Xenopus tropicalis: one gene and its partners. The protein of the gene in region 3 interacts with the protein of the main gene of each other region in a pairwise test. Links are inferred from orthologs where the notes say so. Each region holds a gene or a part of one and is shown on either strand. Other genes may lie near its edges.

Evidence for each region.
Region 1: the proteins of keap1 (region 3) and prkag1 interact in binary tests that used the Homo sapiens proteins (3 or more experiments, as listed by UniProt). The two-hybrid records come from large-scale screens. The link is inferred for Xenopus tropicalis from reciprocal best matches to the Homo sapiens genes KEAP1 and PRKAG1.
Region 2: the proteins of keap1 (region 3) and nfe2l1 interact in binary tests that used the Homo sapiens proteins (3 or more experiments, as listed by UniProt). The link is inferred for Xenopus tropicalis from reciprocal best matches to the Homo sapiens genes KEAP1 and NFE2L1.
Region 4: the proteins of keap1 (region 3) and etf1 interact in binary tests that used the Homo sapiens proteins (3 or more experiments, as listed by UniProt). The two-hybrid records come from large-scale screens. The link is inferred for Xenopus tropicalis from reciprocal best matches to the Homo sapiens genes KEAP1 and ETF1.
Region 5: the proteins of keap1 (region 3) and dpp3 interact in binary tests that used the Homo sapiens proteins (3 or more experiments, as listed by UniProt). The two-hybrid records come from large-scale screens. The link is inferred for Xenopus tropicalis from reciprocal best matches to the Homo sapiens genes KEAP1 and DPP3.

Annotation. Positions count from the first base shown.
Region 1 is NC_030678.2:136,346,673-136,352,621, reverse strand, and holds part of prkag1 (5'-AMP-activated protein kinase subunit gamma-1), read left to right. Parts: intron 1-1,645; coding exon 1,646-1,700; intron 1,701-1,808; coding exon 1,809-1,915; intron 1,916-2,490; coding exon 2,491-2,572; intron 2,573-4,189; coding exon 4,190-4,248; intron 4,249-4,694; coding exon 4,695-4,740; intron 4,741-5,057; coding exon 5,058-5,112; intron 5,113-5,271; coding exon 5,272-5,398; intron 5,399-5,489; coding exon 5,490-5,655; intron 5,656-5,949. UniProt on the Homo sapiens protein: AMP/ATP-binding subunit of AMP-activated protein kinase (AMPK), an energy sensor protein kinase that plays a key role in regulating cellular energy metabolism.
Region 2 is NC_030686.2:11,699,378-11,705,818, forward strand, and holds the start of nfe2l1 (endoplasmic reticulum membrane sensor NFE2L1), read left to right. Parts: upstream 1-2,859; 5' UTR 2,860-2,883; intron 2,884-3,180; exon of another isoform or gene 3,181-3,343; intron 3,344-6,441. Other genes in the region: copz2 (coatomer subunit zeta-2), read right to left, coding at 2,574-2,597.
Region 3 is NC_030679.2:138,053,461-138,060,065, forward strand, and holds the start of keap1 (kelch-like ECH-associated protein 1), read right to left. Parts: upstream 4,090-6,605; 5' UTR 4,068-4,089; intron 1-4,067. UniProt on the Homo sapiens protein: Substrate-specific adapter of a BCR (BTB-CUL3-RBX1) E3 ubiquitin ligase complex that regulates the response to oxidative stress by targeting NFE2L2/NRF2 for ubiquitination.
Region 4 is NC_030679.2:20,587,529-20,593,477, forward strand, and holds part of etf1 (eukaryotic peptide chain release factor subunit 1), read left to right. Parts: intron 1-1,471; coding exon 1,472-1,647; intron 1,648-5,081; coding exon 5,082-5,221; intron 5,222-5,949. UniProt on the Homo sapiens protein: Component of the eRF1-eRF3-GTP ternary complex, a ternary complex that mediates translation termination in response to the termination codons. The eRF1-eRF3-GTP complex binds to a stop codon in the ribosomal A-site.
Region 5 is NC_030680.2:37,998,207-38,004,955, reverse strand, and holds the start of dpp3 (dipeptidyl peptidase 3), read left to right. Parts: upstream 1-2,602; 5' UTR 2,603-2,730; intron 2,731-6,749. UniProt on the Homo sapiens protein: Cleaves and degrades bioactive peptides, including angiotensin, Leu-enkephalin and Met-enkephalin. Also cleaves Arg-Arg-beta-naphthylamide (in vitro).

The DNA of each region.
Region 1 (5,949 bases), on a different chromosome or scaffold from region 3:
AACAATTGTTCATGTTCTGCCCTATGGATTGCTAGGTAATCCACCCTAGTGTCATATTAAGAACATGGGAGAAGTAACTTATTTTAGGCAGAGAAATGAATACTAATGACCATCAGATGAGGACATCCCTCTAAACGAACAGTTAACTTCCTAACCCTCTGACTGCCTGATGGCTGTAAGTGGGTATTGCTTTGACCATCAAATTTACACTATCCACTTCTAACTTTGGTGTCTGTAATGTAGAGTCCACTGGTAGTTAGACAGTTAAAGAGCAAGTCTGGTGTATAGGGTTATGGGAGCATGCAACATAGCTGTGTTTTATTTAAAGGGGCTCAGTTTACTATGTATACTTCTTTTTAAAGTGGCCCTGCTGTTTTTTTTTTTTTTTTTTTACTATCTCCTGGACCCTACAAGAAAGGGTATATAGCAGACATCTGAGTACTCATTAGCTTTGCCTCACCTCAATGAAAAGTGTCTATTTTTTTCGTTTCCCTCAGTAAAATATTTTCAGTTGTTCTTCAGTTTCAACTCCCTTAAATGAAGGAGTCAGTTCTTTACTTAACAGGCCAAACTGATAGAGAGCCATTTATCAACACTGGGCAGTAAGCCATATCAACTAATCTGTTATTAGCTTTTTTTTTTTTTCTTCAGCCAGCTGAAGGTAGAACAAATAGTCAAATGGTTGCCATGGGTAACTGGCCAGGTTCAAAATAAATGAGCCCCAGAATGTAAGTTCTACTCCCACAGTACTGTCATGCTTTTTGCGCCTTCAGTCTATTGATATTTTATTTCCATAAATCAGTATCTTGCCTCAATAATGAAACACTATTATTTGTATCTCCCTTTTTATTGTTACTCTATTTTAAACCTTGTACTTTGAAATAAGTGCAAATATGCATGCTATTTATTTGTTAGTTGAATGGGATATTTTTGCTGTGTTTTTTTTTTAACTTTTTTTGTGTTCGTTGGTTGGCCATTGAGATTTTCTGATATTTATGATGTAATTACTCTTTGCTGAATAAGAAAAAAAGGAAAAAGATGTCTGTGCCCTTTTTTGTGCACATGGACTATTCCTTTTTAAATGTATTTTTTAAACTTTAATGCTGTGATTTCTAAACTGTTGAGTTTGGTTTTTTTTTTATTTTGAGGTTTTTTGCACTTAAGTTCGAAATTCGAGTTAGAAACGCAAATGTCTGGTATTTATTAGCTTACGAGTTTCTATAGAAGTCAATGGGAGTTGTCCTAGGCAAAGTCAAGCCATATTGTTGTATTTGAGTTTGTAATTCGAGATTATGGGTTATATTCGGGTTCAAACTCAAGAATTTGAGGTTTTTTTTAATCGCCCAAGTTTACCACTTTAATAAATAAGCAAACAGTCGATATTCAAATTTAATTGATTTAGAAAAACAAAACAATAAAGTGCTAAGATTAAAAAAAAAAAAAAAAAAATATGACAAAGTACAATTAATACTACCCCTAGGGCCATATTGTGTGCACCACAATTTACTGTGTGTGTTGACCTTAAAATGTTAGGCCAGCACACAGGGAACATTGCAGTAGGGTAGTAACTACAGTAATGTTTCTATAGTCTTCTTTTAATATATGTTTACATTTTTCTGAATTGTAATATCTCTTAATGTTTTAGGGTTCTGTTATGATCGAAAGCAATATGCAGGAGAAATGTGAGCCTGCTTCAGATGGTAAGTACATTTGTAGTAAGCAATACAAAAACTAGAGTAGGGTGGCCATGGAAACTTTTCTAATTGTAGTACATATTTATTTTTAATTTTTCTCTATTTCATACATAGTTCTGGAATCAGACAGTGGAGTTTACACGCGGTTTATGAAGAATCACAAATGTTATGATCTCATTCCCATCAGCTCAAAGCTTGTTGTGTTTGATACATCCCTGCAGGTGAGATCATTTTGTTTTTCTTGCAGTAGAACCAGTATCATGTGTTTTGTGACCTTGGCTTTAGCTGGATGCTTCCCAAACTGGGGGGACGGCTAAGGGGGCCCAGCTTGAAGGACAGTAAGGGTCTCCTAGTTGCTCCTGGAAGTCCTGCTTCAGGGTCAATTAGGGCAAGAAAACAATTGTTTGCTGCCCTAGATGTACTTGGAACTGTGTCTAAAGGACTGATACAACGGTGTATTCATATACAGGTATGGGAGCCCTTATTTGGTTTCCTGTTATGCAGAATGCTTCTGCTGGGAAGGCCATCTCTTTCCTGTAATAATAATAATTCTCTGTAATAATAAATCAGTGCCTTGTACTTGATACTAACTAAGCTGCATAAATCCATACTGGTTGCAAAATAAGCCTTTTTAATATTTGTAATGTTTGAATGCTTTTTGCAGATATTACGGTATGGTGATCCAAAGTTAATAGATCCTATACCAGTATCTGTAACCTTGTAATGAGGAAGCTTGAATAATAAAAAGGCCACAAATCTATTGCTTTAATTATTCAAACCTCTCTTAAATTTGCAGGTGAAGAAAGCATTCTTTGCTTTAGTCACTAATGGAGTAAGAGCTGCGCCACTCTGGGATAGCAAAAAGCAAGGCTTTGTAGGTAAGTGTCTAATAAAAGTATCATGTTAGCATGAGACATGAATATCCTAACATTTCTACTAAGCTGTCTTTCTTTTGGAAGCAGAGTATTCTTTAATCAACAAAATGGCTTAAGTTTTTGATTTGTTCACAAATCACCAAATAAAACAAAGGTGTTCTGTTATTTTCAGTTATAGCTCTCACATTAACCTCTCGGCAGCAGCTGATCATACCTAGCCAAGCAAATGTACATGTTGGATATCATCTGTGTAACTGTAATTTCTACAACTAAAATGTGTTTTGTAGGTCTGTGTATTTATTAGTAATATTAAAGAATATGTAAACCTTTAAAAATGAATGTAACATTGATCAGGGTGCTTTTTTTAAGCACTTCTTTAATTTACATGGTTTGTTTTGTTGTTTCAAAGCTATTAAGCTGTTGTTTAACTTGTAATAAGTTTTGTTAAAAAACAAACAAACAGTGCCACCTACTGGTCAGTTCCTCTGTATGGTCTTAGAGAGAGAGTTCAGAAGGGAAACTGAGAACTCTCTGAAAGTTGCTCTGCTCATATGACCTTCCATTCTGTTTCCTAACAGACTTAACTATATTTCTGTAAACTGAAGGGTGGATTCTTACTTGTAGTGTTTGGTAAGCATGTCTTTGTTAAGGCTGATGCCTCGCAGAGCGATAGATCTTTCCACCAGCAACAACAGGAGTCCATAGTGGAAAGGCAATTGCTTTGGTTGCACAAAGTTGCCTGCAGGAGGAAACCGCAAAGGCCTTTCCATCAGCAATTCCTATTTGTGCCAGTGGACAGGCATTTTGGAGCGGGTGACTAACATGCTTCATGAGAGATCACCCTGATGGGATACTGCAGTCTCAGAATGATAAATCTTTGTAAATAATTGTACCTTATAGACAGACAGCTTCTTTGGATGAACATTTGGCATATGCTATCCTCAAATAAAATATCACATCGGTTTCTTTATTGTGTGTTGGTAACCTTTTCACCATTTAATCAGCGCTCCTGGTTAAAGGAGAACTAAACTGAACCCTAAAAATAAATATGACTTAAAATGCTGTATTTTATATACTGAACTTACTGCACCATCCTTAAGTTTCAGCATCTCAATAGCAGCAATGATCCAGGGCTTCAAACTTGTCACAGGAACTCCCCATCTTGTCCTCTGAGCGGCTGTTGAGAAGCTAAGCTTAGGGGTTGTTGCAAATAATTAAGCACAAAATGTGGTTCACCTGTAATATAAGCTGATGCTACAGGGCTGATTATTAAATTTGTATGCTAATTGCACTGATTTTAGAGCTGTCATGCACTAATTATCTGTATTATTTACAAATCAGCCTATATTGTGACATTTACATTGTATATATACAGTATATTGTGCGTTGGTTCCTAAGCTCAGTAACTGACAGCAGCCCAGAGCATGTGCAGTGAATCAGCAGAAAAGAAGATGGGGAGCTACTGGGGGCATCCTCAGGGGCACAGATCTTCTATGATAAAGGGCTGAGGTTATCTTGGGCTGGTATAGGAGCCCAGAACATAATGTTCAGTATTTCTAACCTACTTCTTTAGTTCTCCTTTATATCTGACCTTTCATCTTTTTAACTTTCCTAATATAGGTATGCTAACCATAACCGATTTCATCAATATTCTCCATCGCTACTACAAGTCACCAATGGTGAGTTAAAAAAGGTGCATCTAGGTATATTTTACAATCTGTTCTTTGTCATTACAGTGGTAAGAGATCCTCAAGTGCATTACTTACATTATATGATATATTATAATATTTATTATATGTTTATTAAACTTTTTAAAGAACACTCTGTCAGGTTTACATTGATCTTTAAATTACTTGCTTACAGGTGTACATTAAATGATTTTGAAAGAAATTCTGTGTTCATATTGTAAGGAAAATAGGTAATTCGAATATGTTGGTGCTTTATAAATAAATGTTAATGTAATGTAATTCACAGAGCAGAAGGTAGAGAGAACAATTCCTTAAAGATGGTACCTAGAACTTTTAGCAATTCAAAGAATGCAACACTGTTTAATGCGCCCTTCTCAGTACAGGTACAAAGGAATCTAAGTTGGAGTTATTCGTTTCATCTAATTTTTTCAAACCAGGTGCAGATTTATGAGCTGGAGGAACACAAAATTGAGACATGGAGAGGTGAGTCTGGATACAGGCGCATACACATGAGCAATACAATTTTTAGTGAATGCAGGATAGGCCTCCACTTTTCACTTATTTTACATATCTGGCATGTTGTACTGCTAGGCTTCATGAAGAAGGTACTGTATTTATTCCTGCATTTACCAAGAGGACCCACTATAACAGCCAACATATTAGATAACAGCAAGTGGCTGTTCATTTTAGGCTTGCAAATGAGTTGTTCAATCATATATTTGCATTGTGAAGTGATCAGTCTGCAAGGGCTTTTGTTTTGTTAATGTTCTGATCTGGATTTTTTTTTTTGTTTCCCCTAGAGCTCTACTTGCAGGATTCCTTTAAGCCTTTGGTTAGCATTTCACCCAGTGCCAGGTAGGAGCCAAGACACTGTTGCTGGGATGGTCCGTGATCTGAGAGCCTAATTGCAATGTTTCATATTAACTATTAAATTACCATGTGCCATAAGACTATTGCAGGGAATATTGTAAATGCACTGAGAAAAGTCTATCTTTTTCTTCCTTTTGTCCTTAGTCTGTTTGATGCTGTCTCATCACTGATAAAGAACCGTATACACCGTCTTCCTGTAATCTCTCCTGACTCAGGGAATACTCTGTACATCCTGACACACAAACGCATCCTGAAATTCCTTAAGCTTTTTGTAAGTCTTGCTCTATTTGTATTATTCCTTTGGCTTCTACACACAGACCTCATTTCATCAGAATTTCTTATTTTATATTTTCAATGAGAAGATGTCTGAAGTTGAGAAACCTGCTTTTGTGACTAAATCCCTAAAAGATCTGCACATTGGCACTTATGAAAATATTGCCCTTGTTCGCCCGGACACTCCTGTATATGTTGCTTTGGGCATCTTTGTGCAACGGCGGGTGTCTGCTTTACCAGTTGTGGATGACTCAGGTTAGTGAAGGATTTCAGAGACAAGTTACAGTCTGTCATTTCCTCCTGTTGCTTTGTAGCTAACATGAGGTACAACAATGTTCCAGCAAATGTTCTGAATTTAGCATTATCCACTTCCTCTATAGGTGCAATAAAGAAGTAATTGATATTGAACAATATAAGGTGTAAAGGAAAATGCCTGTCTCCCAGGGCACTTAGAAAACTGGAAAAATGCTGTAGCATGTCATATATACTCTGCTTAATTAAATCATTGTAAGGATAAGGCCCCACGGATTGTCAGCTTGCATATAAGCA
Region 2 (6,441 bases), on a different chromosome or scaffold from region 3:
TTTTTCCATTTGAATGTGGCTCACTGGTATAAAAGGTTGGGGATCCCTGCCGTAAGTGCAAGTGTGGGGCCGGGCAGGCTCAGTGCAGTCTGCAGCATGCATTTGTGCCGATTACTATTCATTACGTGGCTTTATCATGTGATAAGCCATACAGTGTCCGACTGGCCCAGCAGGATACCAGGGAAACTCCTGGGGGGCCCAGCTGTCAGGGGGGCCTCCTGCTCACCCAACCATTTGCCTTGTATGCCTATACCATGACCATTACTCAATTGGAGGATAATAGCTGGCCGGGATAGGGTGCTGAGGATGTTAATAGCTGGCTGGGATAGGGTGCTGAGGAGGTGTATAGCTGGCTGGGATAGGGTGCTGAGGAGGTTAATAGCTGGCTGGGATAGGGTGCTGAGGAGGTTAATAGCTGGCTGGGATAGGGTGCTGAGGAGGTTAATAGCTGGCTGGGATAGGGTGCTGAGGAGGTTAATAGCTGGCTGGGATAGGGTGCTGAGGAGGTGTATAGCTGGAAGGGATAGGGTGCTGAGGAGGTTAATAGCTGGCTGGGATAGGGTGCTGAGGAGGTTAATAGCTGGCTGGGATAGGGTGCTGAGGAAGTTAATAGCTGGCTGGGATAGGGTGCTGAGGAGGTTAATACCTGGCTGGGATAGGGTGCTGAGGAGGTTAATAGCTGGCTGGGATAGGGTGCTGAGGAAGTTAATAGCTGGCTGGGATAGGGTGCTGAGGAGGTTAATAGCTGGCTGGGACAGGGTGCTGAGGAGGTTAATACCTGGCTGGGATAGGGTGCTGAGGAGGTTAATAGCTGGCTGGGATAGGGTGCTGAGGAGGTTAATAGCTGGCTGGGACAGGGTGCTGAGGAGGTTAATAGCTGGCTGGGATAGGGTGCTGAGGAGGTGTATAGCTGGCTGGGATAGGGTGCTGAGGAGGTTAATACCTGGCTGGGATAGGGTGCTGAGGAGGTTATTAGCTGGCTGGGATAGGGTGCTGAGGAGGTTAATACCTGGCTGGGATAGGGTGCTGAGGAGGTGTATAGCTGGAAGGGATAGGGTGCTGAGGAGGTGTATAGCTGGAAGGGATAGGGTGCTGAGGAGGTTAATAGCTGGCTGGGACAGGGTGCTGAGGAGGTTAATACCTGGCTGGGATAGGGTGCTGAGGAGGTTAATAGCTGGCTGGGATAGGGTGCTGAGGAGGTTAATAGCTGGCTGGGATAGGGTGCTGAGGAGGTTATTAGCTGGCTGGGATAGGGTGCTGAGGAGGTGTATAGCTGGCTGGGATAGGGTGCTGAGGAGGTTATTAGCTGGCTGGGACAGGGTGCTGAGGAGGTTATTAGCTGGCTGGGATAGGGTGCTGAGGAGGTTAATAGCTGGCTGGGATAGGGTGCTGAGGAGGTTATTAGCTGGCTGGGATAGGGTGTTGAGGAGGTTAATAGCTGGCTGGGATAGGGTGCTGAGGAGGTTAATAGCTGGCTGGGATAGGGTGCTGAGGAGGTGTATAGCTGGCTGGGACAGGGTGCTGAGGAGGTTATTAGCTGGCTGGGATAGGGTGCTGAGGAGGTTATTAGCTGGCTGGGATAGGGTGCTGAGGAGGTTATTAGCTGGCTGGGATAGGGTGCTGAGGAGGTTATTAGCTGGCTGGGATAGGGTGCTGAGGAGGTTATTAGCTGGCTGGGATAGGGTGCTGAGGAGGTTATTAGCTGGCTGGGATAGGGTGCTGAGGAGGTGTATAGCTGGCTGGGATAGGGTGCTGAGGAGGTTATTAGCTGGCTGGGATAGGGTGCTGAGGAGGTGTATAGCTGGCTGGGACAGGGTGCTGAGGAGGTTAATAGTTGGCTGGGATAGGGTGCTGAGGAGGTTAATAGCTGGCTGGGATAGGGTGCTGAGGAGGTGTATAGCTGGCTGGGATAGGGTGCTGAGGAGGTGTATAGCTGGCTGGGATAGGGTGCTGAGGAGGTTAATAGCTGGCTGGGATAGGGTGCTGAGGAGGTTAATACCTGGCTGGGATAGGGTGCTGAGGAGGTTAATAGCTGGCTGGGATAGGGTGCTGAGGAGGTTAATAGTTGGCTGGGATAGGGTGCTGAGGAGGTTAATAGCTGGCTGGGATAGGGTGCTGAGGAGGTGTATAGCTGGCTGGGATAGGGTGCTGAGGAGGTGTATAGCTGGCTGGGATAGGGTGCTGAGGAGGTTAATAGCTGGCTGGGATAGGGTGCTGAGGAGGTTAATACCTGGCTGGGATAGGGTGCTGAGGAGGTTAATAGCTGGCTGGGATAGGGTGCTGAGGAGGTTAATAGCTGGCTGGGATAGGGTGCTGAGGAGGTGTATAGCTGGCTGGGATAGGGTGCTGAGGAGGTTATTAGCTGGCTGGGATAGGGTGCTGAGGAGGTTATTAGCTGGCTGGGACAGGGTGCTAGGGTGCTGGGTAAGTGTAAGCGCACTTGGCACCGGTGCAGTCAGCATGTGGGGCAGTCACTTGACTGCGCAAACTACGCTAGGGAGGGAACAAGCACACGCTGGGGAGGGAACAAGGACACGCCGGGGGAACTCATGGTGCGAATGCCCCTTCCATACCGGCACACTGTCCGTGAAGCTCATGTTTAACTCTCAGGCGCTTCCCGACTACAAGCCACGCCCACTCCCCCAACCTTCCTGTCACTTTCCCTTCCGCACACTGAACATACGCCAGGCGCAGTAATACGGTCGGTAGGCGTGCCGGCGCTACATATATATAAACACTGCGACACCACACAAGGGACTTCATCCCAAACAACCTAAAGTATCGCTAAGGTGACATCACGCCACATGTTGCCGACATTGCGCAACGTCTTTGTTATGGACACGCGTCGACGTCACACGCACTGAAGCTTCTAGAACGTGTGACGTAAGACGCAATCTTTTTGCAAGTCACTGTGAGGCCCAAAGCGGCTGGTTTTCCGGCTTCTAGTTCATGTAGTGTGGTTTTATTCAGGTGTCAGGCATGGTTTGTGTGTCGGCTGCACAGCAGACCCGGCAGGAAGTAGGCTGAGGAGTCAAGCGGGACTGTAAGCTTAGCTTCCTGGCGGCAGTGGGTGATGTAACCGCTAGTAACTTACAACGCTATCGTGCGATTGGCTAACTGCGTGACAGAGACAGCTTGGTGACGTAGCTTTCAGCTATCGTCTTATTGGCTGGTTGTGTTATTGTTCTTTTGCCATTGGTGATCGCTGATGGGCTCAGTACTTCCTTCCTCCTGATTGGCTGCCGCTGCTGGCTTTCAGTGTTGCCGGGTGATGCGGAAGTGAGAGTCTGGAGCTGGGAGACCCACGGGCGGGACACACACGAGGAGAGCGGAAGAGAAACGGGTGGGTGCTCGGGGTCCCCGGACTTGGGGTGCGGGTAGGGGGGCCGAAAGCTTCTAGTCACGGATCTCTATTCTGTTCATCCATTCTACCGCGAAAACTGGTATTTCCCCACCGCGGAAGTTATTGAGGTTATGGGGCATAATGTTAGCAGGCGTGGGGGTGCACAGTTAGGCTGTGACTGAGAGGGGGGGGGGGCACTGAGTCCTGGGGCAGGGGGGGCACTGAGTCCTGGGGCGGGGGGGGGGGCACAGTTAGGCTGTGACTGAGAGGAGCAGGGGGGGTTCTGTCACTGAGAGAGGGGTAACCAAAGGGCAGGGAGTCTGAGTGGCCCCGGGGAGTTTGGGCTTTAGTATTCAGAATAGTTATAATTCCCATAATGATTTTATGTATAATAATTGGGTGGGAGATTATCATTATCTGCCGATCAGAATAATACTTAAATGCTCTATTTCTTAACCTTGGGTCAAAGATTCTGTAGAACTACAACTCCCTTTATGCTTTATTCCTTGAGGTCGGAAAATACTGGGAGTTGTAGTTCACCAACGTCTTGATACTCAAGGTTAATAATCAAGGACTTTACTGTTACATAAATCTCCCTGAATAGGGAGGAGTCACTTTCACTTTGTGGTCTATACCACTGGGGTTATGCAATAGGCCCACACTTGGCTGCACATTTATATTGCTTTCCATGATTTGGTGCAGACTTGTTCCTATGTTGGGGTAAAATAAAGCATTGCCTCTAGGTTAGTGTTGTATCCAGGCCCGGACTGGCAAATGTTGGGTTCAGGCAAATGCCAGAGGGGCTGCTGTAAGGTGCCATAGGCAGTCACTATTTATTGGGCTGGGGGGGCTGTTTGTGCCTCTGGGTACTGGGAATGCCAGGGGGCTGTAAGGTGCCACAGACAGTCACTATTTATTGGGCTGGGGGGCTGTTTGTGCCTCTGGGTACTGGGAATGCCAGGGGGGCTGTAAGGTGCCACAGACAGTCACTATTTATTGGGCTGGGGGGGGCTGTTTGTGCCTCTGGGTACTGGGAATGCCAGGGGGGCTGTAAGGTGCCACAGACAGTCACTATTTATTGGGCTGGGGGGGGGGGCTGTTTGTGCCTCTGGGTACTGGGAATGCCAGGGGGGCTGTAAGGTGCCATAGGCAGTCACTATTTATTGGGCTGGGGGGGCTGTTTGTGCCTCTGGGTACTGGGAATGCCAGGGGGCTGTAAGGTGCCACAGACAGTCACTATTTATTGGGCTGGGGGGGGGCTGTTTGTGCCTCTGGGTACTGGGAATGCCAGGGGGGCTGTAAGGTGCCACAGACAGTCACTATTTATTGGGCTGGGGGGGGCTGTTTGTGCCTCTGGGTACTGGGAATGCCAGGGGGGCTGTAAGGTGCCACAGACAGTCACTATTTATTGGGCTGGGGGGGGGGGCTGTTTGTGCCTCTGGGTACTGGGAATGCCAGGGCCTATTTTGTATCCCAGTCCAGAACTAATAATTCTCCACTATGAAGGAGGGAAGGATAGATACAGGCCCGGACTGGCAATCTGTGGGTTCTGGCAAATGCCAGAGGGGCTGCTGTAAGGTGCCATAGGCAGTCACTATTTATTGGGCTGGGGGGGCTGTTTGGGTCGCTGTGTACTTGGAATCCCAGGGCCTATTTTGAAGCCCAGACTTGGTTGTATGATCAGTATGGGTATCTAACAGCAACCACACAAGTGTAAGTTGTTACTGTAATTGCACTACAATATTCTAGTTGTTTCATTTTGTGTTTGCAAATAGAAATGGATGTTCAAACTATAGTCTTTGTGCGGCATTGGGCTTCCCCCTGCCAGCTGAGAATGCCGGGGGATGCTGGGACTTGCAGTAAAATAGACAGTTGGTATATCTGCTGACTAGGCTATTATTAAAACAAGTTACCACTCCGGAGAGATTGGTTCTTAGCCAAGTTGCAGGAACTGTGAGGCTAGAAAATGAACTAGGTGTGGCTTTGGGCTGGAGAAGTGTTCACCTGCCGGAATGTATATATGAAGCTGGTCTGTGTGTAAGTCCTGCAGTGTAGATTAAGGCGTATATTCCCCCCCCCCCCCCCCAATCAGCTGTGTGTATGTTGGTTGCCTTGAACAACAAGAGACCAGTTTAGAAGTGTTGTCGGGCCTCGGTGGCACTGGAATCTGAGCAAGTGATAATCTTCTGTGGCATTTATCCTGTGAGCCCCTCTCTGAATAGCACACGCCTCTGCATTAAGTCACGTGGATAGACAAATGTATTGGGGGCTCTTGGAGCAGGAAGGGCCGATCTGTGTTTGTGAGGAGATCAGCAAAGAAAAAGATATGTGGATGTTCTAGGGCCAGCTTGGGATAGTGGGTGCAAGTGTATATAGAGAGCTAGGTGCATGTATTATATGTCATTTGGCTTAGATGGGGGCTTTTAAAGAAGAGGCAGCTCTGTGACAATGAGAGGATTACCCTCTGAGCGCCGTTTAGTGGCACAGGCCAAATGGAACGTACCGGATATTCGCTGTTGCTCTGTGTATTTATAAAGCACATAAAAAGACTAACAATGTTGTTTAAGACCCCTGACACAGCCCAGTCGCGTGCATGCAAAGGAAGGGTATGGGGGGCTGTGTGATGGTACTAATCTATTTGTCAGATAAGGTACAAGGACAGTCAGTTAGATAGATGTGTGCGTAAGGCGATTTATATCCTGGAATGCTTTAAACCATAGAGAAATTCCCAACAATTTTTTTCTCTCCTATATAATAGCCCTTTGAAACGAGAGAATGCTAAACTACTACTCCCAGCACTTTTTTTTTATATTACAGGCCAGGCATTTCAGTTTAATATTTTCACTGCCCATTTTTTTGTTGCGGCCCTTAAGGGGAGCAATGAATGAATGGCATTGGCACTACATATGGGTATAAGCTAGAGAATTTGTTACACAAATACACATGGTTTTAGTTGCTTTTATAAACTAAATACAGTGTCCTTGACCACTAATATTAAGGGGTTGTTTACCTTTAAATTCACTTTTAGTACGATGTAGAGAGTACTATTTTGAGCAATTTTTGCAGTTTACTTTCATTTTTTATTTTCAGTTTTTGAA
Region 3 (6,605 bases):
ATCAGTCTCTAATTCAAACCACTCCCTGGTTGCTAAGGTAATTTGGACCCTAGCAACCAAATAGCTGCTAAAACTATAAACTAGAGAGCTGCTGGACAAAAAGTTAAAAAACTTATTTTTCTGTTCAGCTTCACTACTATTCATATATTGGTCACTCTCTCAAACCTCTCCCTGGTTACTAAGGTGAAATGGACTCTAGCAACCAGATAGCTGCTGAAATGTGAGACTAGAGACCCCGGCAGCCAAAAACTATTGCTCTGTGAGGCTAAAATGTTATTGTTATTGTTACTTTTGATAACTTTTTTTTCTATTCAGGCCTTCTCCTACTCATGTATCAGTCTCTCATTCAAACCAATCCCTGGTTGCTAAGGAAATTGGCACCCTAGCAACCAGATAGCTGCTAAAACTATAAACTAGAGAACTGCTGAACAAAAAGTTAAATAACTTATGTTTCTGTTCAGCTTCACTACTATTCGTATATTGGTCACTCTCTCAATCTTCTCCCTGGTTACTAAGGTGAAATGGACTCTAGCAACCAGATAGCTGCTGAAACGTGAAACTGGAGAGCTTTGAAACAAAAAGTTAAATAATAAAAAATGAAGACCAATTGGAAATTGTCTCGAAATATCACTCTCTACATCATACTAAAAAACTACCTCAAAGGTTTAGTATGATGTCGAGAGTGATATTCCGAGACAATTTCCAATTGGTCTTCATTTTTTATTGTTTGTTACTTAACTTTTTGTTCCAAAGCTCTCCAGTTTCACATTTCAGCTGCAATCTGGTTGCTAGAGTCCATTTCACCTTAGTAACCAGGGAGAGGTTTGAGAGAGCGACCACTATATGAAGAGTAGTGGAGCTGAACAGAACAAATAAGTAAAAATAACAATAAGTTAAATAAAAGTAACAACAATAAAACTGTAGCCTCGCAGAGTAATAGTCTTTTGGCTGCCGGGGTCAGTGACCCCCGTTGAAAGCCGAGCAAAGGCAGTAAATGAATGCAAATAATTCAAAAACTTTAAAAGATAAAAAAATGAAGACCGGTCGAAAAGTTGCTGAGAATTGGCCATTGTCTGCCCTGCTGGTTCTGACTTCTGAAACAATGTAGCACAAAGCCAGCCGGCAGACCTGTCTATTCTGGAAGAGACTGCCTTTTGCAACATTGTTTAAAAATCATAACCAACAGCAAATGCGGCTTTCCACGGCAATTACGTTTGCAAATAACTTTTAAGGCACTAAACTCTTTTTAATAAAATCATATTGGAAAGTTGCTCATATTTGTTTTATAAGGTAAAAAGTATTTTTTTTTGGGGGGGGTGGTTTGACGTGTCCTTTAACTAAGAGGTAGGCAAGACAAAAAAGGTTAGTTGATTTACTTTCCAAACACACAAATATATGAAACGTGAACATCTAATGTGGCAGAGAGTAACAAGGCACTATTTCAGTTTGTATAAAAAAAAAAAAAAAAGTAACAGCTGCTTTGTAGCACTGAGGTCCTGGGTTCGAGTCCAGCCAGGGCAATATCTGCAGGGACCTAGTGTAGAACCTTCTATAGGCACAAATGAGAATACACTACCTCATTATTATCTGGTCTCTGTGCCACTTTGCCCCAATCAGGACAGGCCTGCCAGGAAGCCATTAGGCTCCACTCACACCCAGCCTCAGAGCACAACAACTGAGATAGCCTCCGCTCTCTTCTAACTCTAGCACACAAGTGCGACAAGTGTCTCATCTCTCAACTAAAGCAGCCCAGTATGGCAGCACCCTCGCACTGATGATAGGCTTGAATAATGGGAAGACCTGTGCCACTGTACTGGGTGCCACTGTACTGGGTGCCACTGTACTGGGTGCAGGGCTGGCAGTGGTTTCCCCTACGTATTAAAAGTCATTTTCAAATAAGGGCAAAAGCAAAGTTGTTCTGATTAATACACAGGCAAGAGGCGCTGCACCTTCCATAAAGCGCAGTTTGGCACCCAGTCACCCAGTTGGGAAGAAAGCAAGGCTGAGCAGCTGTATGCCCCAAAGTGTCGCTCCCAGCAGCCAATCATTCTAAAGGGAGTATTCTGCTTTGTATCCAACACTGTCACAACTAGTACTGTACTGCTTGTGTGTATGCGGGTCACAAAGGCACTGTGTGTGTGTGTGAGGACTGGCACCTGTGCTGTGTATACATGCTATGGTACAGGTGTGTGTGTGTGTAAGGGGGCAGAGTAAAACTGCTGCTGCCTACACTGTATAAATATGCCATGGTGTCAGTGAGTGTAGAGGAGAGATTGGCACTGCCTGCCCTGTGTGTTGATGCCATGGGGTAGTGCGGGGGCCGACTTGCACTGCTGCTGCCTACACTGTATAAAGATGTAGTGGTGTAATTGTGTGTGTGTGGGGGGGGGGTGACACCGCATGCCCTGTGTATGCATGCCATGGGGTAGTGTGAGTGTACATATCATGGTACAGAGCTGTGAGTGAGTGTACATACAGCTGTGTGTGTGAGTGAGTGTACATACAGCTGTGTGTGTGAGTGAGTGTACATACAGCTGTGTGTGTGAGTGAGTGTACATACAGCTGTGTGTGTGAGTGAGTGTACATACAGCTGTGTGTGTGAGTGAGCGTACATACAGCTGTGAGAGTGAGTGTACATACAGCTGTGAGTGTGAGTGTACATACAGCTGTGAGTGTGAGTGTACATACAGCTGTGTGTGTGAGTGAGCGTACATACAGCTGTGAGAGTGAGCGTACATACAGCTGTGAGAGTGAGTGTACATACAGCTGTGAGAGTGAGTGTACATACAGCTGTGAGTGTGAGTGTACATACAGCTGTGTGTGTGAGTGAGCGTACATACAGCTGTGAGAGTGAGTGTACATACAGCTGTGAGAGTGAGTGTACATACAGCTGTGTGTGTGAGTGTACATACAGCTGTGTGTGTGAGTGAGTGTACATACAGCTGTGAGAGTGAGTGTACATACAGCTGTGAGAGTGAGTGTACATACAGCTGTGTGTGTGAGTGAGTGTACATACAGCTGTGTGTGTGAGTGAGCGTACATACAGCTGTGAGAGTGAGTGTACATACAGCTGTGAGAGTGAGCGTACATACAGCTGTGAGAGTGAGTGTACATACAGCTGTGAGAGTGAGTGTACATACAGCTGTGAGAGTGAGCGTACATACAGCTGTGAGAGTGAGTGTACATACAGCTGTGAGAGTGAGTGTACATACAGCTGTGAGTGTGAGTGTACATACAGCTGTGAGTGTGAGTGTACATACAGCTGTGAGTGTGAGTGTACATACAGCTGTGAGTGTACATACAGCTGTGAGTGTGAGTGTACATACAGCTGTGAGTGTGAGTGTACATACAGCTGTGAGAGTGAGTGTACATACAGCTGTGAGAGTGAGTGTACATACAGCTGTGAGAGTGAGTGTACATACAGCTGTGTGAGTGTACATACAGCTGTGAGAGTGAGTGTACATACAGCTGTGTGTGTGAGTGAGTGTACATACAGCTGTGTGAGTGTGAGTGTACATACAGCTGTGAGAGTGAGTGTACATACAGCTGTGTGTGTGAGTGAGTGTACATACAGCTGTGTGTGTGAGTGAGTGTACATACAGCTGTGTGAGTGTGAGTGTACATACAGCTGTGAGAGTGAGTGTACATACAGCTGTGAGAGTGAGTGTACATACAGCTGTGAGAGTGAGTGTACATACAGCTGTGAGTGTGAGGCACTGGTTACGCTTCTCTCCATGTCTGGTCCCCCATTCCCCCCTGTAGGACACACACACCGCGCTTTACGCTCCAGCCCTTCAGCTCTTGTTGCTGAGCTACAAGTCACCCCTAGGTGCTGCTGGCAGTTGTAGTTCAGGGAGAGCTTGAGAGCAGCAGGTTGGCGCTACCTTACTCGCCAATGATATCATCCCAGTCAGTACCTACTCCCCCCCGGCCCTTGCTTCCTGCCCCCTCCCGTCCGCCCGTCTCTTTATCCCTCCAGCTCGCCCCCTCTCCTGTTCCAGCTCCCCGCCTCCCCAATCCCTCCGGTACTTCCCGGGGCCCCGCACCGCCATTTCCCCTTGTCTCACCGGACTCCGGTCTGATTGCCAGCTGCCCCCGCCATGCTCTGGAGCAGTCACCGTGACTAAGCAGCAGCCCGCGTCACTCACACTGCCTCTGGGCGGGGCCATGACGTCCGCACCACTAGGGGCGGAGCTTACAAGTGGGTTTTTTTTTTATTGTTATTGAAGGGAGGAGAAAGGGCGGCTGTGATTGGCTGCGGGGCGCTGCTTAGGTGACTGTTTAGGGAAGTGAAAGTAAAGTGAGGAGAGAGAGCTCAGCGGAGCGGGGAGACCTGCGGCTCTGGTTCAGCTCCCGGCCAACTATAGCGTCACCTGTTGCGCATTAAACAACAAAGTGCTTGGCTTATTGCGTAAAAGTGTTACCTAAAGGGCGGGGGAGAGACGTGTATGTATGTTTTAGTGGTAAGTAGTGTAGTGCGTTGCCCATGGCTATGGCGCAGACATTATTCCAAGCCGTTCCTGTGACAAAATGCCTGAAGTGGCGGGTATATATAGTTGGCCTTTAGATCACAGGGGAGCGTTTAGGAGCGTTTCCGCCCACCCTCGAAGCTACTGAAAGACGTGTCTTTTTAGTCAGGAGTCGCCATATTATTAGCTGCCTGAACCTGCACCATTTATTTCCAGCCCTGTAAGGTACAGCTGCCACAAACCAGAGATCACCTCGGATAAACAGATCGCTTGAGAGTTCAGGGGACAGGTCTAATTAGTACATGTTACAGGGCAGCACTGATGCCTTTAAATTAAACTGAAATACAATTTTCTAGCCCTGTCCCTGAATTTTCAAGTGATCATGTGACCCTGCTACAGGTCTGGACTGGGATCAGGGTTGGACTGGGGGGTGCAGGGCCCACCGAGGCCGCTGCCCCCGCCCGGCCGTGTCCCCCGCACCCCCCCTCACCTGGCAGGGTCCCCCAGCCCGATGCCCGCCTCTGAGCATGCATACGTTTTACACGTCGGCCCACCAGTATTTTTCCCAGTGGCCCAGTCCGACCCTGACTGGGATTCAAAATAGACCCTGGCATTTTAAGTTCCCAGAGGCCCAAACAGCCCAATAAATAGTGAGTGTCTATGGCACCTTACAGCAGCCCCTCTGGCATTTGCCTGAACCCACAGATTGCCAGTCTGGGCCTGATTTTCAGTACACAGAGGCCCAAACAGCCCCCCCATAGGCCCAATAAATAGTGACTGTCTATGGCATCTTACAGCAGCCCCTCTGGCATTTGCCTGAACCCACAGATTGTGTACTGAAAATCAGGCCCAGACTGGCAATCTGTGGGTTCAGGCAAATGCCAGAGGGGCTGCTGTAAGGTGCCATAGACACTCACTATTTATTGGGCCTATGGGGGGCTGTTTGGGCCTCTGTGTACTGAAAATCAGGCCCAGACTGGCAGAGGCCCAAACAGCCCCCCATAGGCCCAATAAATAGTGAGTGTCTATGGCACCTTACAGCAGCCCCTCTGGCATTTGCCTGAACCCACAGATTGCCAGTCTGGGCCTGATTTTCAGTACACAGAGGCCCAAACAGCCCCCCATAGGCCCAATAAATAGTGAGTGTCTATGGCATCTTACAGCAGCCCCTCTGGCATTTGCCTGAACCCACAGATTGCCAGTCCGGGCCTGATTTTCAGTACACAGAGGCCCAAACAGCCCCCCATAGGCCCAATAAATAGTGAGTGTCTGTGGCACCTTACAGCAGCCCCTCTGGCATTTGCCTGAACCCACAGATTGCCAGTCCGGGCCTAATTTTCAGTACACAGAGGCCCAAACAGCCCCCCCATAGGCCCAATATATAGTGAGTGTCTATGGCACCTTACAGCAGCCCCTCTGGCATTTGCCTGAACCCACAGATTGCCAGTCTGGGCCTGATTTTCAGTACACAGAGGCCCAAACAGCCCCCCATAGGCCCAATAAATAGTGAGTGACTATGGCACCTTACAGTAGCCCCTCTGGCATTGGCCAGAAGCCACAGATTGCCAGTCTGGGCCTTCCCTGCTAGATATAGGCACAGCTGGGAATGCGATCAGGACCAAACGCCTGATTGATATCTTTGGGTTAATTAAATAAAATGCCTAGGCCACATTAGTCATAGCTGGCACTTTGCAGGGCCACAGTCAGGTGGGAACCCAGAGAGCAGGAGTATCTCAGGCTTTCTGTGTGCTGCTGGGCAGCACACAGAAAGGCAAGTGGCACTGAGAAGATGGGTGGCATTAAGTGTACATCGCACTGGTCTAGGGAAAACACGGAGCTGGACTTGTGAATGGTGACGTTGCTATCCTTACATATTCCACTCTCAATATTATAACAAAACCATTCCCTATAAGCGTAACATGAACACTTAGGGACCCATTTATCAATGTACAATTGGTTCCAAATTAGTATTTTTTCAAACTGTGCGTATTTTCTGTGACCCTTCCGTTAATTTCCGCTACTTTTTTGTACTTTGCAACAATTTGCGCGTCAATTTGTGTACGAAAGTTTCAGATTCATTCAAGCTTTAGTATCTTAACTTTCTTTTGGCCAGGTTGGAGCTGCAGAGTGCCGTTG
Region 4 (5,949 bases), about 120 Mb from region 3:
AATATGTTCTTGTCCCTCAAGCTTGATGACTTTTGTTCCACAAGATCTGCTCTGGAGACTGGATCAATAGTAGAGTAGTTCAGCTTCCATGTGGGTGTGCAGTTATCACTTAGGTTAGTTGCACACACAACCTGCAAAATATTTAATGTAGACAAATTCCTTTACAGTGTTGACAGGAAGTCACCAATAACTTTTTGTTAGATGTAGAGAGTGATATTCTGAAGCTGCTTGCAATTGGTCCCTTTTTATTTTTCATTTGTGTTTTTTTTCAATTATTTAGCTCTTTGTTCAGAAGCTCTTTAGTTTGGCATTTTGGCAGCCATCAAGTTGCTAGGGTACAGATTACTCTAGCAACCAGGCAGTAGTTTGAATGACACTAGAATATAAATTGGAGAGGCCCTGTATAGAAAGATAAGTAACAATAAAATTGTAGCCTCACAAAGCTAGAAGTTTTTTGGTTGCTGGGTTCAGTGTCCATTTTTAAGCTGAAACGAGGCAGAAAAGCAAGGCATATAATTCATAAACTATAAAAACAAACCTGCTAAGAGTTGTCCATTGTATAATATATTTGCCATTTCCCATGGGTGAGAAATCTTTTTTGTGCCATTGCCCTAATTAAGCTTTCTTGCTAAGAAAGATATCATTTTATGTTAATAGATGTTGTTATACTGCCTGTGTGTTAAATGTTTAGTTGTTTTCTGGTACATAAATATCTTCCCAAATTATAGATAGGTGTTTGTTAAAAATTTCTGTGCTGCACTTATTTATACACCTAATTTAAAAAAGTTAACTGTTTTTTTTAAAAAGTATTTGCAGAAAAGTAAAAACTAAATTAATTTAATCTAAACAAGTAATTGAATATTCCAATTAGTTAATACTTTTGGTTAAAGTATTTCTAAAACAGCACAAGCATAATTTGTGTGCAACAAAAAGTGAATTTCTTACATTGTATTGCAGGTAATGTGCACCTTGTAGTAGTTACATTTTGTAATGCACTGCAGTAGTTGTTGAGTAAGTCATGTTAGTTAGTTAGTTAATGTATTTAGTTAAGTGAATGGGTTAACAGCCCTGTTTCAGCTTAATTGTGGCTGATCTAATCATTGATTTGTGCATAGTGCTATAAATAAAATCCTCCTTGCCTGTTTAGTAAAGAAATATGTTAATTACAAGCCTTATTAAACAAACTAAGCATACATTATAGGCCTATTTTTCAGCATTAGATAAATGTATCTTATGTTGGAGAATGCCTTATACTTCATGTTTAATTTGGAAGCATTTCCCTTTTAGCTCTCCAATAGTATTATATTATGGTGCTATTTCATATCAAAATCTAGTTGCGACTAGTTTGTCAAGCAAATAAGTGAGTAAACATTGCTAAAATGTACACACAGCCTTAGCTGCAGTGCTTGTTAATATATTCTTTGTTAACGCTAACTTTTTTTTTTTTTATTTACCTCTTAAATTTATATAGCAATGGTACCAGTATGATATCTTTAATCATTCCACCCAAAGACCAGATTTCTCGAGTGGCAAAAATGCTGGCTGATGAATTTGGTACCGCATCTAACATTAAATCACGAGTAAACAGACTTTCGGTCTTGGGAGCAATTACATCTGTGCAGCAGAGACTTAAACTCTATAACAAAGGTAAGAAATAGCTACAAGCTTTTATATTTAGGTTGTCTGTGTTAGAATCAGAGTTAAACTCCTTTTGGTAAAGGAGTCAGTGTCTTTAGTAAATCTATGCACAAAAGGAATGGTACATACAATTAAAAAAAAAAAAAGCATATTTAGGCTTCATCCTGTGTAATAGCCAAAAAGAATTGTAGTGCCACAGCAACCAGAGAATGCAGAGTGAGCAGAAATGTTACGCAAGTCAGGACTGTATATTAAGGTTATGTAGGCAATAGTTCCTGACAGAGAGCTGGGAGGTGTATTAATTAATTATGAACAAATTTTGTTTAGCCTATTGGCACCAATGGCCTGGCCCACAAAAGGTGGTACCCTTGGCATGGGCCTTCTGGGGCCTATATGGTAAATACAGCCCTGATACAAGGCTGAAAATATTTAGTCTGTAAGAAATGTGTACGTTCAAAGAAAAGGCTACACTAAGGGCAGTGGTACATGGGGAGATTTGTCGCCCGCAACAACGAAGATTTGTCGCGGGGCGACTAATATCCCCGTGTGCCACTGCCCTTACGTGCCTCTTGATATCTTTACTTTCACCTCCTCCTGTTTATGTGTATATGTGTGGAATTTATAATATACACAGACACAGTATATATACAGAAACTCAACATTTTTTTTAAATGTTAGTAACTTGGGAAACAAACTGGAAGATGCCATTTTACATCAGGGATATTAAATTGTGTATTGTGGAAGCTTAAATTGGACTTAACTCTTGTTGTTTTATAAACAGTTCAGAATTCATAATCTATTATATTCAGGAAGTTTATTTCAGTGAAAATTATGTTAAATTGTCATTTTCACTATAGATCCCCCTTTAATATGATGCACTGATATCTACAGGGAACTATATTTTCTACTATAGTATTGTGCAGTATAGTGTAAGAAAATAAACAACCACATACTATGTCTTTGTTCCTATTTAGATGGTGGGAGAATTTTTTTTCATGTGATAAACAGGTTCTGGGTGGTATAAAGAGATCTCCCAGTACTGTGTCTTAAGCCATTGTGTTGGGTAAGAAGACACCCAGCCCCCAGGGTCTTTTGTTTTTCGCATTAGAGTGTGCATATGCTGCTGTTTACTAAAAGTACACTCTTCCCTGGACCTTTTGTTTTTACAAATTAGAACTGGTAGGCTACTAACCTAGTGGCAAAGTGAATATATCACTATTTCCGTATTGGCCTAAACATATGAAAAACCTACATTTTTAGATTCCATGACACCAGAACACATATTTTTTAAGACATCTAAGGCCACCTAAGCTTCATGTTAGAATTCTACTATCCTCCAAGTGAGTTTCTTGCAGAAGTATAAGATAGGGGTCTGTTTTATTTTTTTTTTTAAAGGAACAGTAACACCAAAAAATGAAAGTGTATAAAAATAATTAATATATTATATACTATTGCTCTGCACTGGTAAAAGTTGTGTGTTTTCTTCATAAACACTACTGCAGTTATATAAATAGCCTGCTGTGTAGCCATGGGGGCAGCCATTTAATTTGTAAAAAGGAGAAAAGGCACAGGTTACTAAGCAGATAACAGATAAGTAGCAGATTCCCATTGTATTCTACACGATTTATCTGGTATCTACTTATGTAACCTGTGCCTTTTCTCCTTCTTTCAATTTAAATGGCTGCCCCCATGGCTACACAGCAGCTATTTCTATTAACTATAGTAGTGTTTCTGAAGCAAACACACAACTTTTACCAGTGCAGGGCAACAGTACATTATATTTTAATTATTTTAAAACATTTTTATTTTTTAGTGTTACTGTTCCTTTAAGACACTGGAAGACAAGCCCCCTTTTAATTTAAGGTCTGGTGTTCCAGCAGTTGACCAGATTATACTTTGATAACTAGAGTACAATTTTACTCTGCAGGTTAAAATATACCCCATATAAAATGTTTCAGTAATGAAAAGACATGAGTAATTCTTCCAGCCTTCTGCACCCCTGCACTGGGGCCAGACATTTCATATGGCTTCACAGCAAACCTTCATTGGAATTAGTAAGAAAGAGGGGAGAAAACTTAAAGGAGAAGGAAAAGCTAATTAAGAGTTAATCTCAAGCTGCAGGCATACCTTCAGCTCCTTCAATAGTGCCCTTAGGGCTGTGGCACATGGGGAGATTAGTCGCAGGCGACTAATCTCCCTGTGTGCCACAGCCTTTAATTCTCCCCATATTTCTCCCATTCAGATGATCAGAAGCCTCATAGGAAAAAAAAAAATGCTGAGCTCTGTAAAGAAAGTTCCCACAATGCCTCGCTCCTGCACAGAGACCAAGACCCCTGTACATGCTCTGTTTGTAAGACTATGAGAAAGCTTCCTGCTGATTGGCTCAGATCACACATTCCTAAGCGGAGGGGAGGGAGTTTTTAGCATTCTTGAGGGAGGGGGGAGCAGGAGAGGGGAGAGAGCTGCATGTCTCTGGCACAGGAAAACGGACAACAAATCCTGTTTCTTTTGACAGAAGTCAGTACAGCATTTCTGTGAGTGCTTATGGCTGTATTTACATAGACCTTTCTGATAAAGCTTACTTGGTTTTTACCTTTCCTTCTCCTTTAAAACCATGAATAGTAAGGTGAACATCAGTTTAGTAAATAGTAAGTTATTTACTAACTTAGTGGTCAGACAAGGTAAGAGTTAACTGTTACTAAGCTTGGTGAGCATTATTATTAAACTACAAACTAAACTTTAGTTGGAGGAACACAAAGTCATAGCTGTAGGTTGTGTCACAGCTTAAAAACCAGGGTAGCAGTCAAACCAGTGGTAACTTGTGTAAACTAGTATGGGATCTGTCCCTCTATCATATATGGAAGGGTGTATGTTAGGATGCTATTAACAAGGACAGGGGTTAACTTTATTATTGGCCTCATTCAATCAGTGTTGGATGGAAGCTTCTTCTATTTCCTGCCCCCATCATTTGCACTTGTGTGAGCAAACAGGTTTTTTTTACTTGTTCTAGGGTGTTCTGCAGTAAAGTTAGGTAGCTGTGATCCAAATTAATTTCCATGTACCATGTAGTATTGATTTGATGTCAGAACATGATGCCCATCCTGCGACAACCCCTCTTAATATTCCCTGGTACTGTAGTTCCTGTGGTCTCTCCCTCCCTCTGAATGAGTTACTGGTTATGTAACTCACTGGTATTTACTGTATCATGTAACTGTTTGGAATCACACTATCACATAGTGCACTTCTGCATTTTCAATGTTTTAGTGCCAGAGATGCACATTGAGTGGAATTCTGGGAGGAAAATCTGCATTGTGAGAAACACTTAGCAATTTGCTCTTTCGATGTATTGCATTCACTCATGCATGGGAAATGAATGTAGTAAACTTCTACAGTATTCACTTCAAAATGTTCTAACCTACTCCACAATTTTTCTTTTCTTCTAGTTCCCCCTAATGGTCTGGTTGTTTACTGTGGAACAATTGTAACAGAGGAAGGAAAGGAAAAGAAAGTCAACATTGATTTTGAACCTTTCAAACCAATCAATACCTCTCTCTATTTATGTGATAACAAATTTCATACAGAGGTACATACAGAGGTGTTTTGTTATTTCAATGTCTGTCAAGAATTCTAATGCGCTATAGACCTCTATTACATTTATGTTTTACATACACACAACACACGTTCCTTAGAGCATGTGAAAAAGTTGTACAGATATTCAACCCGTTGTCTGGAAACCCATTATCCAGAAAGCTCTGAAATACAGGAATGCCATGTCCCATAGACTCAATCAGATTTTTCATTGATTTCATTGATTTTTCTCTCTTATAAAACAGTAGCTTGTACTTGATTCTAACGAATATATCATTTATCTTTAGAGGCAAAATCTTGTTGATTTTAATACTTAATTGTTTTTTTTTTATAGTAGACTTAAGTTATAGAGATCCAAATTATAGAAAGACCCCTTATCCAAAAAACCCCAGGTCCCAAGCATTCTGGATAACCTGTCCATACCTGTAGTTGACTGGTTACTAGTATGGATTTCGTTTTACAAAACATTGTGAAGGTATAGACTGAAATTTACTATGTGTCTTGCACCCCTTATGTATTTATAAAATATTTTTCAAAATATGCTATGGGTTTTTGAGACGTGTAATAATCCAGATTTGCACTTAGTATGTACATGTACTTAGTATGAGCAAAAACAGACAGTACCAACCTCAATATATAGCTATATAATGTATGTGTATACACATAATAGATGTGTGTATATATGGGCTTTTTAAATGTGCCAGAGTGTTTATTTAATTGCAT
Region 5 (6,749 bases), on a different chromosome or scaffold from region 3:
TTTTTTCCCCCAAATGTTAAATAGTTATCAGTGTAAATCTGGCCAACATAAATTCCTTATTCATACAACCTTTCGATTACCTTTATCCTAACACAACATGCTTTACTATCATTGAAGTTGTTAGCTCTACTTTCAGTAGCAGTAGTTGTTGCACAGTTGCTAACAGAAAGAAGTTTTTGACCATATTTTGTCCCATGGCAAGCATTTCTTTATATTATGACCAAAACACACGAAACAAATTTTGGTGCATAGAATTTTGTTAAAATACATACATTGCACACAACAGATTAAAGGGGACATTGCCCTGACCTGTTTTCAGCATTACTGCATTTTCCATAGTGATTCTGATATACAGAGGGAGTTTCAGAGATTAAATAAATGACAGCACTGGCACTTGCTTCATTTGTATAGCATTTCAGATTATTTAAAATGTTATTTCCTCCATAAAATACTGTAATCAGGGTCAGCTGTAGAAATATTTCTGTTAAACTGCCATGTCTCATATAGGGCAGCCCTAGAAAATATAAATCTGCTTTACTTTGGCTAAAGCTATCATAGAACATATAGTTTTCAGTGCAGAGGCAAGAAGCAGATCTAGAGACAGATCATGAAGTAACAGTGATGTGCAGGCTGGCAAAAAGCTGACCAGTAGCCAACCCTGCCAACCCACCTGACCATAACCCTCTGTATTTATAGACCTGCACCCGACCTGCCCCTCTCTGACAGGGCAAAAAATGGCAGGGCACACAGAGTCGAATTTATAAATACTAACATCTGGAGGCAGAGATGGGGCATAGTAAGGTCATAGGCAGGGTGGACACATGGTAAAGTGCAGCCCAAACCCATCCACAAAAGTTGTGTGGATGTTGGCTTGTGGGTCCCACAAGTTCAGGCCAGCACATAACTAAGAAGGTCATAAACTCCTGCAAACATCATAAATGGTGTCTGTCTAGTTTGAATGAGTTACAAAATCATTTTAAATCCCAAATGAAATCAGAGACATATTTTTCAAATGAGAAATAGTTCTTCCTAGGAGTGAAAGTACTCGCACAGTCTTGGCCAAAGGAACATGTTGTGAATTCACAAAAGAATCTTAAAAAGTATCTGCAGATCTGCAGGCCTTTCTCTTCTCAGCTTAGTGTCATGTCTGCAGACAGATTATTTGAAATAATGAGATCTGTTGCAGAAAAGCAAGGACAACACTCACTAGAAAGAAGAAGCGAGCACTCACCTCACGTCTGCCAAAATGCACCTGAATAAGTATGAAGCAGTCAGGGAACAATGGAACAAGATAAATACTAATGGGTCTCTGGGGCTGTAAGGGGAAAAAATCAACAGTCAAGAATGGCAGTTGCATATAATGGTGCAAGTATTACAAATAATTTATTCAATCAATTCTGTTCTGCGGGAGAGTTTTATACAGCAGAATTCCCATCTGGGATCTTAGGCACCAATAATATAATAATTCAAAACACAAAAATAAATCTATACCAAAAATGTAAATGATCTGTAATTGTTTCTAAAGGGGTATTAAAGCTTAATAAAGAAGTAGGGTAGAAATACTGCAGACTATTTTGTGGGTTTCTGTACCAGCCCAAGGCAACCACAGCCCTTTAGCAGGGAAGATCTGTGCCCCCAAAGATGCCCCAGTAGCTCCCCATCTTCTTTTCTGCAAATTCCCTGCACATGCTCTGTGCTGCTGTCACTTACTGAGCTTAGGGACTGACTTAGAATATAGTGTGTGTATAAAATTCAGAATAAAAGGCTCATAAGTAATTAATACATATTTTAGGTGTGCATACCCCATTGTAGAAGCAGAAGGAATGCTTGGGAAACACTTGTACGATGACAACACAGAATACACCAGCCAATATAAACTGTCAATTCTGTCCTTCCAGACCAAGTTGGCAGATTATCGGCCTGTGTATAGGGCCATCTGAAAGGCCTGCCCAACCAATGTCTGGTCAAAAATCTGCCAGATAATAATAGGGCAGGATTCAAAATACCACTGGGGCTAAACTATAAGATCTGTATGGGCAGCTTTAGTTAGAAAGATAAGGGGAGGCATGAATCCGAATTTCCCTGAAATCCCAGGACCTGAGGGACCATTACCACATAAAACAGCATTATTACAGAACAGGGGGCAACTAGCAGTCCCACACGGAAACATGCCTGGGGTCTAAAGGCACTTATGCTATATGACATTTCGGGGACCACAGGCCATAAAGCACTGAATTTCCAGCTGTCTCGAACTTATTGCCATGCACACTCAAGCTACATCTACTTGTACAGCTGCTTACCGTCCCCTCAGTAAGTCAGTACTCTGCAGGAACACGGCACCACTTTATGTCAGTCCTCTTGCACTCCCCTTACGACCTTCATAAGCAGCTCTCCATAAGCACGCAAGCTCATTTCGCTTTACCCGATTGGCTTCTCGGACTTTCTATTACGCTTGTACCATTGGTAGACATACTTGCCAATCACACTCGATCTGTGCTGCCATTGGATAAGCTTAGAGCCTTGAATACCGCTCGCCGATTGGATGACTGCGTTTCATTCTTACTTCAGTACCACTATCTGGGAATTTCATTGAATAGCAGTGACTTTGCTTCTTCACTGAATGGGTAAGGGCAGGCGTTACGTATACATGTGGGCGGAACCACAGCAAGCGTGGTTGGTGCTGTAACCCGGAAGTCTGGTCGTTTCAATTTTTGTCAAAATCCTGAACAGGTGAGGAAATTACATTGTTCGTATTACTTGTAGGAGCTCTAATCATTTGAATGAACAAGGATGGCGAGTTTACAATAAAAAATCATTTTAAATGGTCGCTATCAGTATTTTGAGTCTAAATAGTCCCCCAATGTAAATCAATCAGGGACTGTGATTAATTATAGTACTATAATTCACATAGACGCAGCCTATGTATTTCATAAGTGCTATTAATATCTTGATTTTTAAATATGTATGCAAAAAATAGGGATGCACTGCACCCATCATTTTTGGATTTGAACAGTTACCAAATTGTCCACAAAAGGTTCTTCTAAATAACCAGCCAATTGTAACCCCAATTTTACAACCCCAAGACTGTGCCAAACTGAGAACTGATTTTAGGTATGAAAAAAATGCTTAATTGTGAACAAACCAATAGTAAAAGAAAATGTAACTTTACTTTCCATTATACATTATCATTTTTTCCGGTTATATGCAGATGTAATTGCAGTGCAGTGTAACCTTAAAGTACATGTAAAGCCTAAATTTGCCTACAGTGTATATCAGTTGGGCACATCTCCCCCACCCAAACAGCATACACACACACAGACCCTTATTCAGCATACATTTCATCAAGAATACAGGCTCACACAGGCACAACTGTCTCTGATAAAAGTTCTGCTTTGTTCGAGCTGAGCTCAGGAGAGGAGGTTAGGAAAAAGAAATAGAGCTGAGTTACTATAACCACCAATGCCATCTCTTCATTGGCTGCTAGACTGGGGGGTGTGTTTAGTAATCTGAGTTTAGAACAATTGAGCATGTCTGGCAAGCCAGGAATCAAAGCAAATTACTGAGGGGGGGGGGGGGTTACAGGAGAAGAAGGAAATCCAAGTGATTAAGGAGATGTTGCAGCCTTACGATTAACCTCTGGACAACCAGTGTGGCAGGTACTGAAAGATTTCAAAGAGGCTGTTCACTGATTAAATTTTTGCGTGCAGGGTTTACATGTCCTTTAAAAGGGTGTAACAGGAGTCAGTTCTCCTCTAGGTCTGGTAGTAAACTGGCACCTGTCACCCAGAAATAAAAAGCTCTATAATAAAAGTCATTTTCAAATTAAGCAGGAAACCCTAATTTACTTTTTATTAAAATATGTATCCATGTTATAACCTCATTTAACAAGCTCAACTATCAATAATAATTTGTCTTCCCCACCTCTATGTCTGAGGCCCTGCAATTACTTTCATTTCTGTACCTCCTAGATGTCACTGCACTTCTCACATGCCCCCCCCCCCCCCCTGTCTATAAGTGTGTAGCCTGTGCATGGGCATGAGGTCCTTATTTATGGTACAGGTATGGGACCTGTTATCCAGAATGCTAGGGACCTGGGGTTTTCCGAATAAGGGATCTTTCCGTAATTTGGATCACCATAACTTAAATCTGCTAAAAATCATTTAAATATTGAATAAAACCAATAGGCTTGTTTTGGCTTCAATAAGGATTCATTATATCTTAGTTGGGATCAATTACAAGGTACTGTTTTATTATTACAGAGAAAAAGGAAATCATTTTTAAAAATTAGAATTATTTGCTTATAATGGAGTCTATGCGAGATGGGCTTTCGGTAATTTGGAACTTTATATATTAAACACGATAAGGTGACTTTACTTAATAAAGCAAAAGCAGTTGATGGGTATGTCATAATGGAAAACTGAAAGTCAAGAACGTAAAATTGTGTACTTGGATTTAAGTTAGTGAGTGTGTCAGTGCCAATGCCAGCCATCTCCTGGGCAAAACCATATGAAATGGATAAAGTCTGCCAGCTGTTTTACATGTTTGTACATGTACAAGACAAGAAACTCTTTTGAATATGTTGGTTCTTTGCACTTAAAGTTGCATGTGGTCAAATGTGCAAAAATTCCTCCTTCTTATATTCATTTGTCAAATACGAAGATTTTGATCAGATTTTGTGGGTCAGGTTTTATCCGATCTTGTCATGCAACACCATGAGATTTTATAGAATCCTACAAAATCTGAATTGTAATGTCAGATCAGATAAAGTCAGATGGAGTGTTTTGTTCAAATTCCCAGCTCAGCCATTCCTGATCATTTTTGCAGTGTGCCAGGCCTGCCACACTGACATTAAAGGGGATGTAGGTCACAGAGGATGGGGGATATAGGCAAGTCCGTAAAACGGATACAGAAACATGGGGCAACGCCTGTGAGGAAGGTGCAAGGCTTAAAGCCATCTTTATTTTGGAGAAAGGCAAGTGCAAAACATTTCGGGTAAAAAAGAGATACAGATGACTAATCATATACATGTATGTATAACAAATACAACTCATACTGCATCCCACGTGAGTCAAACACGTTCAATCCAACAAGTTCCACATTGTAAGGTGATAATAGATCCAGATAAATCCAGCCAGTAGTCCAACCAAGAAGTCCAACAATTGATTTGCCCCTTGCATGTTCCACATTAGAATCTCAAGTCCATGTTTGTGAAAAATATTATGAGAAATACAGTCCAAGTCCCAATTTTTCAATATATTTTTCACTAACATGAACTTGGGAATTCTAAAATTGTACAAGCATGGAGCTATTCATTTGTTGGACTTCTGGGTTGGACTGTTGCTTTGGGCTCATCTGGATCTATAACCACCTTACAATGTGGGACTTGTTGGGTTAAATACGATTGTGGCAGGCAGATATAAGTATTTGTTATAAAGACTTGTGTGAGTAGTCATTGGTGCCTCTTTTCACCTGAAGAAGAGTATTCACTCCAAATTGTTGTGCACTTGCCTTTTTCCAAAATAAAAATGGCTACAAGCCTTGCACCTTCTTTACACGTGTTGTCCCATGTTCCTATATCTGTTTGACGTACTTAACCACTTCTACAGTCATTTCGAAAGCTGTTTGGACTGGAAGAACCGGTGGACGATTAAAGGGAGGTTGGTACATTTAAAGGTGTGCTTACACAATTTCTCTACAGGCTTTCAGACAAGTCCTTTAGGGGAGCCTCTTACATTATCTTCCAACAGGTGTGCATGATTATTACGATAGTCAGTAGTTGTCTAAAAACTTTGCATGGCAAGTCTGTCCTTTTCTACTGGTTTCTGGAATATAGACACTTGAATCCTGGTTTGAGCTTTTTCATTTTTATTACTGCTTGGAATTTCTTGTCTTTATTTAGATTTTAATGCTTCTTAAGTCAGCTTATTGCAATTTGTTAAGTGTTATTCAAAATGTTGTTGCTACAATTTTCTTTAAATATGATGTACATTTTCAGCATGTGACCCACTGCTTCTAGCTGTTACAAAGGTGCTTCTCTTGCAGTGTTATAAATGGGACTGTAATGGCATATTCCATGTAGGTTTTAAATTACATTTCAGATGTAGTGCACTTAATGGTACAGCTGATAAAACAAGAATATACTATGACTGTAGGGCCTGTATCTGCAAAAAGATAAGAACTATGGCAGAAATCAAGCCCCTCTATATGATGTAGTTGGATGCTGCATGATACATACAGATGTTGCACTTTGTCTTTGCCATACTATAAAACAATTTGTTCTTTAGCCAAAGTGCAAAGTATGTCAATGTGCCCTGAAGCCTTATTGACAGTGGCAAATTCTCTGTTGCAGCTAGTGGTTATGCTAATGCTTTGTGATTTGCCTATGGCATGTCTCAGATCAGTTTTTAATTACATCCATATAGTAATTTAGACCTATTTCACACTAGTGAAATTAGATTCAGGCAAGGGTCATTTGTTCCTACTAACTGAATTCTGTATGTATAAGTCACACTATGCAATAGACTACAGTGATCCCCAACCAATGGTTTGTGAGCAACATGTTGCTCACCAGTCTCTTAGATGTTGCTCCCAGTGGTCTTAAAGCAGGTGCTTATTTTTGAATTCCTGGCTTTGAAGCTAAGTTTTCCTTGTATAAAAACCATGTGCGCTGCCAAACAGAGCCTCCTGTAGGCTGCCAGTCCACATAGGGGCTATCAAATAGCCAATTACAGGCCATATTTGGCACCCCC